Linked DNA regions of Pelodiscus sinensis. The protein of the gene in region 1 purifies or fractionates together with the protein of each later gene. This does not show direct contact. Links are inferred from orthologs where the notes say so. Each region holds a gene or a part of one and is shown on either strand. Other genes may lie near its edges.

The links.
Region 2: the proteins of USP49 (region 1) and CETN3 purify together in Homo sapiens (affinity purification with mass spectrometry; 4 studies listed by BioGRID and IntAct, with this or other methods). This does not show direct contact. The link is inferred for Pelodiscus sinensis from reciprocal best matches to the Homo sapiens genes USP49 and CETN3.

Annotation. Positions count from the first base shown.
Region 1 is NC_134737.1:9,530,813-9,539,355, forward strand, and holds the start of USP49 (ubiquitin carboxyl-terminal hydrolase 49), read left to right. Parts: upstream 1-5,126; 5' UTR 5,127-5,516; intron 5,517-5,621; exon of another isoform or gene 5,622-5,708; intron 5,709-8,543. UniProt on the Homo sapiens protein: Deubiquitinase that plays a role in several cellular processes including transcriptional regulation, cell cycle progression or innate immunity.
Region 2 is NC_134716.1:74,601,188-74,609,331, reverse strand, and holds the start of CETN3 (centrin-3), read right to left. Parts: upstream 3,275-8,144; 5' UTR 3,134-3,274; coding exon 3,117-3,133; intron 1-3,116. UniProt on the Homo sapiens protein: Plays a fundamental role in microtubule-organizing center structure and function. As a component of the TREX-2 complex, involved in the export of mRNAs to the cytoplasm through the nuclear pores.

The DNA.
Region 1 (8,543 bases):
GTAGATTTACTGCAGGGCTTGGATCTCATGTAGCAATGATTTACTTATCAGGATGGAGAGCTAATGAAATTTCCCTCCATTTAAATGATCTAAACAATGAGAAGCTTCCTGGCTGGTCTGTAAATTTCCTATCTCCTCCTTACATTTTTCTTTGGTGTGTGTTATTTGCTAAGTAGATAGCAATGTGGCTGTTTACCTTGGTTCTGCAGCTGCAAGACCTTTGTGTAGCTTTCCTGAAATGCCTTCCCAAAGAATTTCACAAATAAACAGCCATTAGGCAAGGATCTTCTCTGTTTAATTTCAGAATGCAGCGTCTCTCAAATGAGCAGAACTACCCTGTCCCTGCAATCTACTCTTCCTGCTGAACTCCCATTGAGGTCACGGGGAATTCCATGCCCAGAGGCTTAGCAAGGCTGTTGCCCTTAAACTCTGTGCCTTATATCATTCTGGGTTTGCGCAAGTAGCCTGCGGGAACAAGCACATGGCTTCTTCTAAAAACAAAAGCAAAAACCAAACATGTTCTCCATCGCCAGCCCGTACACTGTAGCCCTCTGTCTAAAAAAGTAAACTGCAAAACTGATGTCTGGGACCTTAGTACACCTGCTGATTTGCCAGGCAAGCTGCAATTGGACAGGGTTTGGGGAGGAAGGTTGAGGATACATTTCTGGAGGATTGGAAAGAGGAGAGCTGTTTTGTTGCTTTGATTTACTGGTTGGCTGAGTTAGTTAATTCATTATGTGATTTAAATGTGATTGGGGGGGCTGAAGAATGGGGTAACAATTTTTTTTGTCGGTAATTAATTGTCAGGGCACCTAGAGTTTGTATGGGCACTTTTTAATTTATTTAACTCTGAATAAGTTAAATAATGTGGCAGCGGGTCTCAGTAGGTCTGGTTGGATGATTCACAACAAACAGTATTTAAATACATTAGCCATTTAAATATATCAAGCACAGGGTGCTATTTTGGGGTTCAGTCTTGCAGCGCAAATGCACATTAGTCACCGAATCCCCTTGCTTGCGCTCTTCAGGGGAGAGTCTGGTGTGCAGCGCTTGCAAGCATGTGGCCACTAGCTCACAATTACGAAGATCTTTAACCAGAAAATTCTGCTCTCCAGACAGACCCTCTTCTCCAGCCTGCGTTCTTAAAAAAATGCTGTGGAATTGTGACAGGAAGATTGGGCACATCAAATATTGCAAATGTCACTCAATACAAAAAAGATTCTGATAAAATCCAGGCATTAGAAGAATTTAGAGAAGGAAAAATCAAAGGCTTTGGTTTGGGAGATTCCTTCGCTACTCATTAGTTCTTTTATCTTAGTACTTGCTTAATTGTATATTTGTGGTATCTACCTGATGAATGGACAGCAAGGTTGATCATGGTGCTTTCATTTTTTGCATTTCCACTGATGTAAGTAAAATATGCCTTTTTCCTAACTGTCTCTTTGTTGAAAGAAAATGGAGAGCGAATCTCATCAGGGGCTTGGGTTTGTTTTTCATTGCCCTTGACTTACCACAGTTTGCTCAATTTTTACTTTTAAAATAGGTCTGAGTACTTAGGCAGATGCCTTTTTGCGAGAGAAATGTCTTTGCTGGGTCTGGGTTAGGAGTGGGGGAGGGGGGAGATTTTTCTGTTCAAAAAGTGTCAATCAGAAGTTGCTTAGCTTTTCAGGATGATAATCTGCACAGCCTTTAAATCCGTTTTCATGGGGTTGAAGATAAGTTATAGTCCTGTTCTGAATTTTTAAATGAGCATACATCAATTTAAAATCTAAACCAGTATTTCAATTATTAGGGTACTGCATCTAGTCCTAAAATACATGGACAGTTTTTATGATTTTATTGTCATTTAGGTTTTTTTTTTTTTAATTCTCAACCCTATTATCTAGAAGAGGTGCACAAAAATTACTTTGTGGATAGTCGAAGTTCCGTGGAATGCAAAAATATAAAACGTTCCATTTTTTTTACTCCAAGTACAATTTAGATGATGCTAACAAAACTAGGTGAATGTTCAACTTGGCTGTTTTTTTCAAGTTGATGTCTCTTCAACATGTAGATGAGTCTCAAATGAGTAGGTGTTCTACAGGAGTATTCTTGACAGAGTTTTTTTTATCAAAGAATGTTAAGGAGCCCTAATGCTGTTCGCCATTGTTCCTACTGTATATTCAAAGAATTAAGTTTATTTTAGTTCTATTTGTTTGAGCTGATTACTGTGCTTGTTAAATGTCTTGTTTTTCAATTTTTTTAGTTTAGTTTCAAATTTTTACTCCTATAAAGGGCCAAAATAATGGTTGGTTAAACTTCTTTTGACATAAAAGAAATTGCACCAAGGATGAATTTGGCTACATGAGTTCACAGTCTTTGGTCCCACTCCAGAAGGAAAACTAAATAGAAGTTCAAATGCCAGTGTGGATCTCTGTTTAGGACCAGAGCCTAAACTTGATCAGAGGTGGGCCAAAGGTATTGGTATAAAGTCTGAAAGATTCCTGGAAGAAGTGAATTTTAAGGAGAGAGAGAACAAGGGAAGGGAGGTTGTTAGCAGACAGAAGCTCAATTCTCCTGATTTCCAAAGGGAATTTAAATGGCCTTTCCTTTATGTTGTTTTTTAAGTGTTTTGTGAAGTGATCTTTGGGATCCACATTGCCAGGAGATGGCTGGAGTTCTGCTCAAAGGATTGTGCCTTGTTCAAGACTAGAGCATTGGGTCTCCTGATAGCAATGGGATGCTTTGAATGCAGCAAGCATACTTTCAGATGCACTGAGACGGAGAGGGACTACAAGGAGGTGAATCTTTGTTGCAACGTAAGCATGCAATGTGCACTTGTCCCATAACACAAACTGTCTGAAGAGGCAAAACAGTTGTTCGGGGGGCACATATAGCCAAACTGGGCTGTTATGGCTTAAGGCCTGGACGCTGCCTCAGACCGTGACATGATAACGACGTTGCTTCGAAATGTCATTGTGCTGCTTAAAAATGTGGCCTATTCAAACATACGATGTTGTTGAAATGCACTGCTACAACAACCTCTCACGGGGATTGTGGTTAAAACACCACCTGACTCTGGGCCAGTGCATAATCAAAGCAGAATGCGTTGGTATCAAGGGAGGACCCGGGTTAGAGGTGGAATCCTTGTTATCGCTGTGATGCTGCCTTGGTAGATGCTTTTGATAGAAAATGTCCGTCTCACTTGCTGCCACACTGTACCACACAGCTTCCATGGAAGAACACGCCTGCGCCACATACCTCACAACACAACTGCAGTCGCCCTGACTACCGCAGCTGTCCCCAAGGAGAGTGGGATCTCATCATGGCACAGGGCTGCTGTAATAGCAAGTGGTGTACTCGCGATGTGGTCCTATCCCTGGGTGTTCCCTTATGTGTTCAGGCTGACAGGGTGCTCTACAAGGATGCTGTGATGGAGTCTCCTGGCTTGTGCAGGGACTGGGGCCTCTGATAGTAGCTCCCCCCGGCAGTGGTCCTTAGGGACAGCTATGTTTCCCATGGCTCTGGGACAGTGGCCTATGCCATCTCATCTTTGTCCCACGAGAGTGACCCATGTGATGGTGGTGCCTTGTGTGGCTCCAAGGCAGCGTCCCCATTAAATGGCAACACCTGGTGTGGCCCCCATCAGAGAGTCTGGAAGGGCCAGATGTGGCCCTGTGGCAGTGCCCCCATGCAATGGTGTTGCCTGAGATGGTCCCATAATAGTGGCTCTATGCACTGGTGGTGCCTGATGTGGCCCCATCACAGCAGCCCTATGCATTAGTGGTGCCAGACAGGGCCCTGTGCAGTGGTGGTACTGGATGTGGCCCCATGCAATGGTGGCATTGGACATGACTCGGTGGCAACTTCCCTGTGCAATGGTGGTGCCAGATGTGGCCCTGGCCTTGTGCAATGGTGGTGGCTGACATGGCCCTGTGGCAGCATCCCTCTGCATTAGTGATTCCAGAAGTGGGGCCGTGCATCAGTGCAGGATGTGGCCCTGAGGCAGTGTCCCCATGCAATGGTGTTGGCAGACATGGTCCTGTGCAATGCTGGTGCTGGATGTGGCCCCGTGGCAGCACTCCCATGCAATGGCAGTGCCAGATGTGGCCCCGACAGTGTTCCCATGCAATGGTGATGCCAGACGTGACCCTGTGGCAGTGCCCCCATGCAATGGCAGTGCCAGACGTGGCCCCGTGGCAGCTCCCCCGGGCAATGGCGCTGCTGGACGTGACCACGTGCTGGACGTGACCCCCATGCAATGGTGGTGCCAGACATGGCCCCGTGCCAGTGCCCCCGGGCAATGGCAGCACCCCCAAGCAATGGTGGTGCCAGATGTGGCCCCATGGCAGCGCCCCCGTGCAATGGCGGTGCCAGACGTGGCCCCATGGCAGTGCCCCCATGCAGTGGCGGTGCCAGACGTGGCTCCATGGCAGCACCCTGTGCAATGGCAGTGCCGGACGTGGCCCCGTGGCAGTGCCTCTGTGCAATGGCAGTGCTGGACGTGGCCCCGTGGCAGCGCCCCCGTGCAATGGCGGTGCTGGACGTGGCCCCATGGCAGTGCCCCCGTGCAATGGCGGTGCTGGACGTGGCCCTGTGGCAGTGCCCCCGTGCAATGGCAGTGCTGGACGTGGCCCCGTGGCAGTGCCCCCGTGCAATGGCAGTGCTGGACGTGGCCCCGTGGCAGCGCCCCCGTGCAATAGCAGTGCCGGACGTGGACCTGTGGCAGCGCCCCCGTGCAATGGCAGTGCTGGACGTGGCCCCGTGGCAGCGCCCCTGTGCAATGGCGGTGCCAGTCGTGGCCCCGTGGCAGCGCCCCCGTGCAATGGCGGTGCCGGACGTGGCCCCGTGGCAGTGCCCCTGTGCAATGGCAGTGCCAGACATGGCCCCGTGGCAGCGCCCCCCGTGGAATGGCAGTGCCAGACATGGCCCCGTGGCAGCGCCCCCCGTGGAATGGCGGTGCTGGACGTGGCCCCGTGGCAGCGCCCCTTGTGGTGTCCCTGGCCCAGGGGGCTAGCTGGAGCCCTGTGCTGCTCCCTCTCCGCCCCAGCCTGCTGCTGCTCTGCCCAGGCGCAGCGCGTGGCCTGTAGCACACGACGCCCCTGCCCCTTTAAGAGTCTCTTTGTCTCTGAAACATCCTTATTTACCCTCGTGTGACTCAACCAAACTTCAGCCTGCGATTCACAAAGCCCAGCTACGTCACTGGTCCGGGGTGGGGCCATCGAGTCCCCGCCCCTCCGCCCTTCTCCCCCTCCCACTCCGCAGCGCAACTGCCGTAAGCCACTGAAGTGCCTCCCAGCCGGCTACGCAAGCGACGCACACTAGTCCCGCGTTCGAAATCTCCCGCTACGCAAGCGGCGTAGGGCCGCGGAGAATGGAGCGGCAAGCCCACGCAATTCACGTACTCTAGTAAAGAGTTCGCGGTCTGTGCCGCGCAAGTGGCCTAACACGCGGGAAAGCTTCCGCGGCGCTCGCTCGCGGGCGTACCGCGCCGAAGAAACCCGCCACGCCGCTCACGGGAGCGTTGCGAAGATGGCGTAAGTGGTGTCGGGGAATGGGGCGTACAGCGCTAGAGGAGGGCGGAGAAGGTTGAGTGTGTGGCGTGCGCTCCGACCAATGGCGTCGGGGGGCGGGGCGAGGCTGGCGGCCAATGGGCGGGGAGGGGGCGGGGCCGGCCCCGGTTGGGGTGTCTCGCGCTCGGTGACAGCTCGCGCGTGCTGATGATGGCGGTAAATAAAGGGGTTGGGGGGGAGGGGGCATCTGACCCCCCCCGGGGGGAGGGGGGTTCACCCCCCGAGGCGGGCTGGAGGAAGGGGTTCAAGCCCCACACTGGGGCTGTGAGGGGGGGGGTCTGCACCCTTATTAGGACGGGTCTGGGGGCTTCACGCCCCCCCAGGGGCTGGGTACGGGGGCGCCTGACCCCCAGGGTGGGCGACTTCACCCCGAGGGGGGGCTGGGGGGTCAGGAGGGGTTTAACCCCAGTTTGGGGGTGAAGTATGAGGGAGCTTCACCCCTTATGGGAAAGCTGGGGGGGGGGGCTCTAACCCTCCCCTGGAGGCTGAGGGGATTGACCCCCAGTTCAGGGGGGAGGGATGTGAGGGGGCTTCCCCCCCGTGGAGGTTTTGGGGTACAGAGCAGGGCTGAGGGGTTGAACCCCCAATTTAAGGGGTGAAGTGGGAAGGGGCTTTACCCCCCCCCGTGGGGAGCGTGGGGTGGTCTAACTCCATGAGGAGCTGGTTTCACCCCAGTTTTGGGGGGGGGTGAAGTGCTTCATTTCTCAATGGGGAAATGTGGATTTACTCCCCACGCCGGGGGGAGCGGAATGGCTTTATCCCCATGAGGGGAGGGGGCCGTTGGCGTTCACGCACAGGTGGGGGCTCCGGGGCTTTCATGCCCACAGTAGCAACTTGAGACAAGGAGAATGAGGAGGTCACCCACCACAGTGTGAGGTTGAGAAGAAGCTGATAATGGAGGCCAAGGGAGAGTTTATGGCCCTTTGGAGGCTAGGGCGAGGTTCAGCCTGAGAGTGATAAATGTGATGGGATGCGAGGCTTAGGGAGCACTCAGGGGAACGGACAGGTATGGTTAAAAGAGCTGAAATGGGCTGGATGATTGAAAATTAGTGGGTGTAGGTGCTGGAGGTGATGGGGACTTGGGCTCATATGTTACAAGGAAGTTTGGGGGCAAGTGTTGAAGAGAAAAGGTAGGTCAGGGAACAAGGCTGGATCAAGGGAGAGGTTGGGTTGGTGGTTAAGCAGTGATTGGGGCACTCTGTGATTGAAACAGTCAAAGAACAGGCGCTAACTATGAAGAGCCCAGTGCTGAGACTATGGCTAGAGAGAGAGAGATACCGTTGTTCCATTATGTGAACTGTGGGCACTGATGGGTTATGGTGGGGAGCAGTTGGAGGTCTTGGAGTGGTGACTGACAACAGGGTGGTAAGTAGCATGGTACAGAGGTGCAAATCCCTCTGTCTGCGGGAGGTAAGATCCCAAGCTACTTTTTTCCTTACTGTCAGTGTGATGTTAGCAACTTTCTTTTTGTTATACTGTTTTAAGAGCATAGTGCTGTAGGTTGACCTGTTGTTCTTCCTTAATCCCATTGCATTTTCCTCTTTCTGTAGCAATGCACTTGGGGTAGAGGGAAACAGTAAGGAAGAGAGAGAGGGGACTCATACTAAAAGAATGATTGAAATGGTTTTATCATTTTTTTTCTTTTATTGTGTTCTAAATGTCCCCAGAAAGGTCTGGGGGAAGTTATGAAGATGGAACCATAAAAATCAAGATATTGAATGCCCTCAGGTCCCTTGTAGAATTGAGCTCTAATTGTGTAACAACTTTTCCTTAAATCCTTCTGGTTTATGGTAAACAGGATTTAAATTGTTGTGCTAATGCTGCTGTTTGAATACAGTAATTGTGAGGGTGAACATAGTAAAATGAGGGTGATGCTTTGTAAATAACAAATTCATATAATTTCATAACAACATTTAAAGTTCATTTGAATGGCCCACAAGATCCCCCTTTCTCTAAACAGAGCAATGGCAGAGTGTGTGTTGCGTGGTTTATAAATAAAATGATTAATTGAAATTTTATCCCAAACCCCAGTATATGCATACTAAGAGAAATAATTCTGTATTGTAGGGGGGAATAGACTAGATCCTCCTACTAGAGATCTGCAGTTCTAGCTCCAAACAGTAGTCCTTACTCACGTGTCCCATTGAAGTATCTGTGCTTGAGTAAATGTTGCAGGATAGAACACACAGTCTCTTTTTCTAACTACCATGATTTTATTCTCTATCTTCTAGAGGAGAGGGAACAAAAAATCTCTTTTGTTCACTTTGTTTGAAGTTTCCATCTGTTTTGTTTTATTTGGGAGGAGCGAGCATTAGGGTTGGAGGGGGGGAGTTGAGGTTGGAGGAATGAGTGTTTGCTGACAGGTTTTTAACAAAGAGAAATACAGTCTATTTGATTTAGCCTCTTGATACAAACTGTATGCTCCAAAAGCATTGCAGAGAGAGAGAAACTGAAATTAATAGGAGAGGGGCAGAATACTGGCAACTCCTTTTCTTTCTTTTGATTGTTACTGTCAGTCTTGAGAAGCCAGACTCATGTTTAAATCACATTTAAAATATAATTGCAACCTGGAGAATTGGCAGCAGCTTGAATGCGCCTCCCACAAACATGTACTTTTCCTCCATTCCCCTCTCCTCCCATTTGTAAAGAAAAGTAAACTCCAATTAAATCATGCTAAGTTTCTGGAGTGCTTTTTAAGAGATTTTAAGAATACATATTATTGGAAATACAAGAAGCTTAGTGTTCTTATAAATAAATTTGAAATTACAAATCCAATTTTAAAAGTTTGTGATATGCAAAGGTAGGATTATTTCAGGTCACCCTCCTTTTCATTTTATTTAGAAAATTTCAGATTTATTCTTTTGTTCAGAGGAGACAGTTTTGAAAATATTTATGTTGTCTGCCTTGCAGGAATCAACTTTTGTCCTGAAATCTGTCTTTAAATACATTTATACAATGTACTTGTGTATGTATTTGCATACACAAACATGA
Region 2 (8,144 bases), on another chromosome or scaffold:
AAGTAGGTAGATATTCTACCCATTTTGCACAATGAGCAAAAGGAGGAAGAGAGGCTCAAGTGACTTGCCCAATCGCAAAGAGAGATACATTGGTACAGCCAGAATTGTTTATTTATAAAAACTTGTAATATAGGCCATACCTCTAGTGTTCTAATACATACAGTATCCAAAAAACTAAACATCTAATGATTTTCCCATACAACTTGACATCTGACCACCCTAAATCCCCCATTCCAACTCTTCCAAATGCCCAAGAGAAACAAACAAGGAAGATTTACTGAGCATCCGGAATACTGACAAATCTGGCAAACGAAGTGGGACAGTGAACACCAGATTGGAATAACCATGGCAGGAAATGTCTTGTTAGTAGCTTCTCCCACATAATCATAAATACCTGTTTTCACACAGCTAGAGAAGCAGTCTCTCAGGTCTGAAACCATTTCTTTAACAGGCAGTCCTTAGATTTAAGATGCAATTGGTTCCTTAAAATCTGAGTTACAAAATTATCACAACTCAAAACCACAATCCACTTGATTGTGGAACTGAGCATCGGAAAGTCGAAACAAGTCAATTCAGGAACATTCTAAGGGCCTTCTATCATGAGCCAAACGTTGTAAATTGAAGACTACCTATATGTATTTATATTTATAAAAGATACCCACCCAATGCTCTAGGTACCCTTTCAGCTATTAAAATTACAGTATCAATATATTAGTAAACAAACTGCCATAAAACTTCACTTGTATTATGCTCCAAAATAGCAAATGGCACTCCAAAGAAATGCATAAAAGTAGCCATGTTCAGGTTAAAACTTTAAAATCCTAATCTCTGCTGGAAAGGAACTAAATAGTTAGTGAAGATGGTGCAGTGAGTTTCATAAGCTCAAACTAAACTCCTATATGCAGAAACCCCATTTTGCATTAGCTTCAACTTTATAATGATCTTAAGATGTAGCATTATGGAGAATGTATTATAGTTGTATCACTGCAGACCGTCAGATACTTGGCATGGTACAAGATGAAGCACAGTAGAAAGAGGATAGTCAGGAGAAAAAAAAAATAAGGGGAGGTGGAACTGGTGACCAATATGGTGTGCTGGTCTCAACCATGTCTTCAAAAGGCTGGCTTAGGTGATGAGGCCCCTTAGGGTGGCCTGAGGCCTGGCCCAAAATTGACAGTTTCCTTTTACCACTGCAGTTCCTTCTCCTACAGCTACCCTAACAGCTCTGCTGTGAAAAACAACTGCTGAGGATGCAGGCAGAAGTGCCTTTGCTTTTAAGCTGGCACCCACATAGCCGACTGACCCTCCCCCTCTCACAGAGGCAGTAGCACAGGGAGGCACGTGGGAACTGGTGCTCAGGGAGAACCAGCTTAAAACTGATTAATTACTAGTCAAGTAGTCAAGGGAAATTCCATGGACTACTTAACAAGTAAATTAATTGTTATTTAGCATCCTTACTTCGGTGTGCAGGAGGGAGCTGCCACGGAGCAGGCTCTGGACAGGAGGTAGGGTGCAGGAGCAAGTTGGTGGTTCTGGACCATTCTGCATTTGCCTCGATTCCTGGCCAATGGAGGAAGGGGAAAAAGCCTGCAGTTGAGTGCAGGGACAGAGTTTTTCTTAACTACTGGCAATGAATGTGGATCTAGCCCAGGGAGGGGCAATGGTAGAGCACAGATCCACCTCCCCTTCCATCTCTTCCTGGCCAGGGAGAGCTGTCCCAGAATGCAGCGCTTTCGTAATCCTGTCTGGCTTCTTCCCACAGCAAGAAGCTGGGGGTCTTAAAGCTCAGAAAATGTAGTTGTACCTGTGCAAATATATATACACAAGAAAAACCAAGGTTTGCACCAATGAAACTCACCTTGCACTCTTACTATGTTTAGCTGCTGAAGAATTTATGTAGGATTTATGTACTCTAGCCATTGACATTTTTTTTATTTCAGCCTCTCGGCTTCTAAATTTAAGAATGAACTAAAACAGCTCACAGTTAGCTACAGAAGGTGGACTTGGAAAGGATGTTTAGAGCCATCCTTCATAGATTCTACTCTAAAACCAAAAGGGACCACTGTAATCATCTAGTCTGACCACTTATATATCATGGGCCATAGAACTCTCAAAAAAATAATTCTCCGAGCATCTATTTAGGAAAAAGATCAAATTTGATTTAAAAATAGTCAGTGATAGACTATCTACCATGACACCTGGGAAACTGACCCAATTTTACCCACTTCTTCTGCTGCAGGGTAGGTCTGTAAAAGGTTAACTGTGTAACTGTATGGAAACCGATGCTTATTGGTTAGCCATTTAAATGGTTTTACATTCCTAATGTATAGTACTATTTACTGTGCCGATAGTATGTGAAATGCCGACAGATAAGATATCTTAACACTAGATTCTGGATTTATTTTTGATGCCTTACCTGTTCTCGCCAGCAAAAGCAATTTATTCAAAGCCATTCCAAAGTTATGGCTATTTAAAACTAAATGTGTTTTAACAATGAAGTATTCAAAACAAAACAGTTCCAAAAAAAATCTGAATTGTATGGGTCTCGCACATAAACAGGGCAACACCCCTCATTAAATAACAGTCTGTAGAGATTAAGGGGCAGTCTGTCCATGAAGTCTGCATTAATCTTCTCGCAGGATCATCCTGAGCGGCTAAATCTTAGCTAATCTTAATGACTATTGCTCGGGGGCGGTTCCTGTCAGATGAAGACGGGGCAGGACACCGAGCGTGCAGGAGGAGGGCTGCAAGTCACCTAGCTGCTGCCATGCTCCTCGTCAGGCGCTCTGCTCGGCATCCAGCAGGACCCTGGGATTCTTTACTTCCTTGAAATGGGCAGGAGCCCTGCAAAGCCCTAAGCCCACGTCTCGTCGGAGGGGCACTGCCCTGACACAAGGAAAGGCTGCAGCAGACAACAGCTAGCGACAAAGGACAGAGCTGGGACTCCAGCGCCCCAGTATAGGGCCGGGGGAGGGGCACCAAGCCGCCCCCCCAGTGAGCAACAGCGGCTTTTCTCGTAGCCCCCCCCCGCTTTAGCCCACTGGGCCCGCGCGCCCCGCAGCCCGCAAGATGAGGCCTGGGGCCAGACTCCAGCGCCTCTCTCCGCCCGTACAGACCTGAAAGCCAAACTCATGGTTGCGTCCCCACCCCCGGCCGGACTGGGCTTCCCCCGCCGCCACCGGCACTGGACACCAGCAAGGGCGCCGCTCTAGCTCCCCTTGGAAACACGATACAATGCAGTCACTAGTAGCGGTGCTCCCTTCTGTCGCTAAGCTAACTGGCTGAGCACCCGCTTCCTCCCGCCCTCCTCTCTATCGTACCCTCTTATTGGTTAAAATGCTTGCCAGCCAATGTGACTGCCCGCCTTCTATTTAGTTTGGTTGAGGTACGCAGCTTCCGTTTTTACCCAGAATGCCCCAGGGCTTTGCATTGGCGAAGGGACGATTAAATTTCAAAAGCGGTGGGAAATGGGGAGAGTCCCGGATGTATCTTGGAGACTCCGCCCTTCCGTTGTGGCGTCAGTCCACCCTGGCTGAGCTTTGCAGGCCCGCCTGTGAGTCTGCGGCGCTGGGAAATGGTAGATGGTCATGTCTTCACATCCAGACATTACGTGTTCATTCCCTCATATTTGGATGTGCTGTAACCACAAGACCATAATGTGCTACTGGAACAATAATAGAAGTAAATAATGCTCAGCATTCCCCTGCTATCGCACACCTATCCAGTGTAATCCACTGGAAAATGTGTGTGTTGTGGTTCCTTGTAGCACAGGTTGGTCTATATATTGAATAATAGCATTTTTTTTCTACCAGTTCCTTGTTCCACTTCAGTTTTAGAGCTGTGGATTGAAGGTTGCAGTTGCTGGTATCTGAAATAGATCTGTATGAGGGTGAAAATAGGACACGTACCAACTCCCGCCAGGCTGTCCTTTCCCCCTTCCCCCCCAGTGCTGTGCCTCTGTATCAGAGGCAGCAGTGCTGCGGCAGGTGGGCAGTCAGCTCCAATGGAGCCACCTGCCATCCCCTGTTGCCTCCCACAGAGGCAGCACTGGCGAGGGGGTGGGGGGGGTAGATGGAAGCTGGTGCTTGGGAGGGAGCCAACTTAAAAGCCAGCTGCCCTTCCCCCCCTGCAGTGCTGCTGCCTGGGTGGGAAGCAGCTCTGCAAGAGCTGGCACACATGGAAAGCCAACTTAAAAATTGGCTCCTCCATGTACTGGCTCCCACTTGCTTTCTCCCTTCCCCCGGTAGGGGGAGTGGCTACTGTGGAGCTGGCACCCACCTCTTCCTGCTTCTAATACGGAGGAAGTTGGGAAGGTGCATGTAACCATCAGGAGGATTAAGCAGTGAGCCCAGAATTATCGGTAAATAGGTATACGCTAACATCTCTAGGTGAAAACTATGCATACATTTATACAAGTTAGTATGATAATCATTAAATAATTATCGGGATTATTTGATATTACAAAACATGCGATTGTTGTCCCTTTTCACCTGGTCAGCAGAAAGGGCCCTGATGATATTCCAGTTAGGAATAAAAGTTGAAGGAATCTTGTTTATTAACAGGGAACATACAAAGTCCTGTGATTCTGTAGGTAGAATCAAGAATACTGTACAGTCTCCAAGTCTCTTTAGTCAAATCAGACCCAAAAGCGTGCTCTAGCTTTTTCCAGTCACACTGTACCACATGATCCTGCTTGTCTTTCTTGCTTCTCCTTCCCTCTCTTTTTGTCTGTTTTCTGTGTCTGTCTGATCTCTCTTCTTACTTACATCGCTGCCCAAAACAGCATTCAGCCAAAAGCCTTGAACGAGTTCACATATACCTTCTGTTTCGTGGGGGGCTTCTTCCATTATAGTGGTATTAATTGAAAAATAAATTCACACCTATTTATCTCAATGGGGTTTTAATAACTCAACCTATGACAAGGTTTTACTCAGTTTATAACAGTATTTAGAGGTGAATTTAGATTTTTTTTTGTTGCAATTATCTTTGGTTAATGGGAGCTGCCCTCTGATGGATAGAATGTTGGAGATTTAGAAAGTTTGTGAGAGAGCAATAGGTGGGAGAGTTTGCCAGAGTCCCAAAGATGATTCTTGTGTAAGTTCCAAAAAAGCTCAGAACTTAATTCAAAACTTCAAACAAGACTCAGTTCTCAGAGGTGAAACATTAGCACTAATAGGATGCCTCTGGGTATTGCTAATGAACCTTTTGCCTGCAGGTTCCCAGCTTGAATCTTGCCCAGCTCAGAAGCAATTAAAAGTTGCTCCTATTTAAAAGATGCTTGGTAGTCCCTAGATTAGATGAGTTTGGGGAGTTCCAGTGATGATCTTCTGTATCATTTACCATGTTGCCTGTTCTTCAAATTTTATTGTGAGTCTTTGGTGTAAGTCCTAGTTCCTTGTGTCAGGTGACTTGACAGAATCATTTATACCTGAGAAAAACCTTGAAAATATGACTAAAGTGTATCGGTAAGACTAAAAAATGAGAAAAAAAATCCCAAAATTATCTGAAAATCTCTCATAATTTTAAACTCATTTTTTGTATTTGAGGAACTGACTCAGCTTAGCTATTACACTCTCGGGCAAAGAATGGTAGTAAGGGTATGTCTACACTACCACCCTAGTTCGAACTAGGGTGATTAATGTAGTCATTTGAAGTTGCAAATGAAGCCCGGGATTTAAATATCCCGGGCTTCATTTGCATCTTGCCGGGTGCCGCCATTTTTAAATCCCCGTTAGTGCGGACTCCTTGCCCGCGGCTACACGCGGCACGGAGTAGGTAGTTCGAATTAGGCTTTCTAATTCGAACTACCATTATTGCTCGTGGAACGAGGTGTAACGGTAGTTCGAATTAGAAAGCCTAATTCGAACTACCTACTCAGTGCCGCGTGTAGCAGCGGGCACGGAGTCCGCACTAACGGGGATTTAAAAATGGCGGCGCCCGGCAAGTTGCAAATGAAGCCCGGGATATTTAAATCCCGGGCTTCATTTGCAACTTCGAATGACTACATTAACCACCCTAGTTCGAAGTAGGGTGGTGGTGTAGACATACCCTAAGATATTCAGGGCAGGGGCTGGGAGCTTGTCTGCATAAGGGGTTAATTAGCAACTTTTTGCTGTGTGTCACGTAATGCATAGTGTACAAAATTATATGCCTTCTGACAATGGAAATTACTGTGTACACATAGTGGCAGTTTTTGGTGAGAACTGAGGACATGGTGTTCTCAGAGGTTATCCAATGCTTTTTTGCTTTGCTGTGGAGCAGTGTATTCTGGGGAGTATGTCTTGGCTCTGTCTTTTCTTGTTTGTAAGGCCATCAGAACCTGGAGTTCCATATGTCACTGTTCTGTGTCCTGAGCTGGAGTCTGAGGGTAATTGCCTTTGGGAGCAGGTACGGCAGGGAAGAGTTGTTCTCAGTAGCTTGTATTGTCCAGGAATTGGATAACATGACTGGGTGTTGGTTTGCAATAGTATTGAATTACCAGTATGTGAAGTACTAGGGCACTTTGTCTTTTTATTGCCTCCGGGAGTTGCCTCTGCATATTATTTTTTCCCCATATTGTCTTTGGTAATGGCAGTGCTTTTTGTGGCAACTGTTATGTTGTCCTTTTCCAGTGCCATAATCTCCCAGGAAAGATTTTTGTCACATTGTTTCTCTGTCCTCAAACGCTGTCTCTATCTGCATTTTTCAGTTTTTTGGGTGCGGTCTGTGTTACAATGTCCATGAACATTTCATCATGATTTCTCTCTTTGCTTTGTTAGAAAAGTATGTAATGCCAATGCCTGTCTCGTGTAAAGTGAGAACACTAACCAGACTTCTTTTTCTCTGACTGCTGCCTTAGTAAACATTATGGCTATGTCTACACTGCGCATTGTTGCGCAAGAAGATATGCAAATGAGCTGCCATTTTCTTTTGCGCAAGAAGGAGCTGTCTACACTGCTCCTTCTTGCACAAAAAAACCCGTCTTGCGCAGGAGCCGTTCTTCCTGAAAATAAGCGGCAGAACGGCTCCTGCTCAAGAGGGTTTTTTAGCGCAAGAAGGAGCAGTGTAGACTGCTGCTTCTTGCACAAAAGCCCCTTGTGCAAAAATAGTGTCTCATTAGGTACGCAAATGAGGTGCAGCCAAGAATGCGCAATGTAGACATAGCCTACGTTTTTCTCAAAATAATGTTTTCATTATTTGAATCCAGTACTGCAGGAGGGGGAGGGGGGAAGGATTAGGCTAGTGAGTGGACCGCATGTGTAGCCCTCCATCTCAGTGGGCAGCAAATTTGTCATAATTAAGATGATCTCCTGGGATAAGGCAGTTTTGCTAACAGCATTTACGTACTTAGATTTTGTAGGGTATGCTGATTAAACCATAGTAGCATTTTGATTGGATGCAGAAGGAGCACACAACTCTCACAATCAGTGTTGCATGCAATCAGCAGGCACCTCACTTCATGTACCCTTGCTTTTAAGTGCATGTCACTGATATTCTGAAAATCTTAAGTAGTTAGGGCTTCATCATGAGATCGGCTAAGTATCTGGCTTCTGAGTCTCTACCATTTGGAAAAGGACCATGAGTGATGGAGGGACAAATAGCAGCATGGGCTGATAGCGGGAACAAGGCAGGAAACTGGAACTAATCTTCTAGCACTCGTCCACCTAGAATGGATGTGGCCATTTGGCAACTGGAAAAGAAGCTAGCATAACACTAACATAATTAAAAATATTAAATAAAAAAATTAAATATTAAATTGCAAAAATTAAAATAGATATACATGCCAAGGTGTACTGCATAGGATCTAATTATTCAATCTTGTTTAGGGTCTCAGAACAGGTCCAAGATTTGAACAGGTCCAATTTGCTCAAGGCAGATTGTAGGACTTTTGGAATATTATCACCGCTATTATAATAAGATTGACTACAGGAGCAAACAGACAAAATCTGCTGTGCTCCAGCTTATAAGGAGACAGAACATCTGGTCAACTTGATACCAGAACAGGAGAGGGCACACAAGTAAACAGATGGGTCATCTGGGTAGGATAAGCATTGGAAAATTGCCAATGCAGTTTGTAGCACCATTGCCTACACACGAACAATAGACTGAATTCATGTGATTTGCTGCAAAGTTAGTAAACTTCAAATGAGTCAAGAATTTGTGAT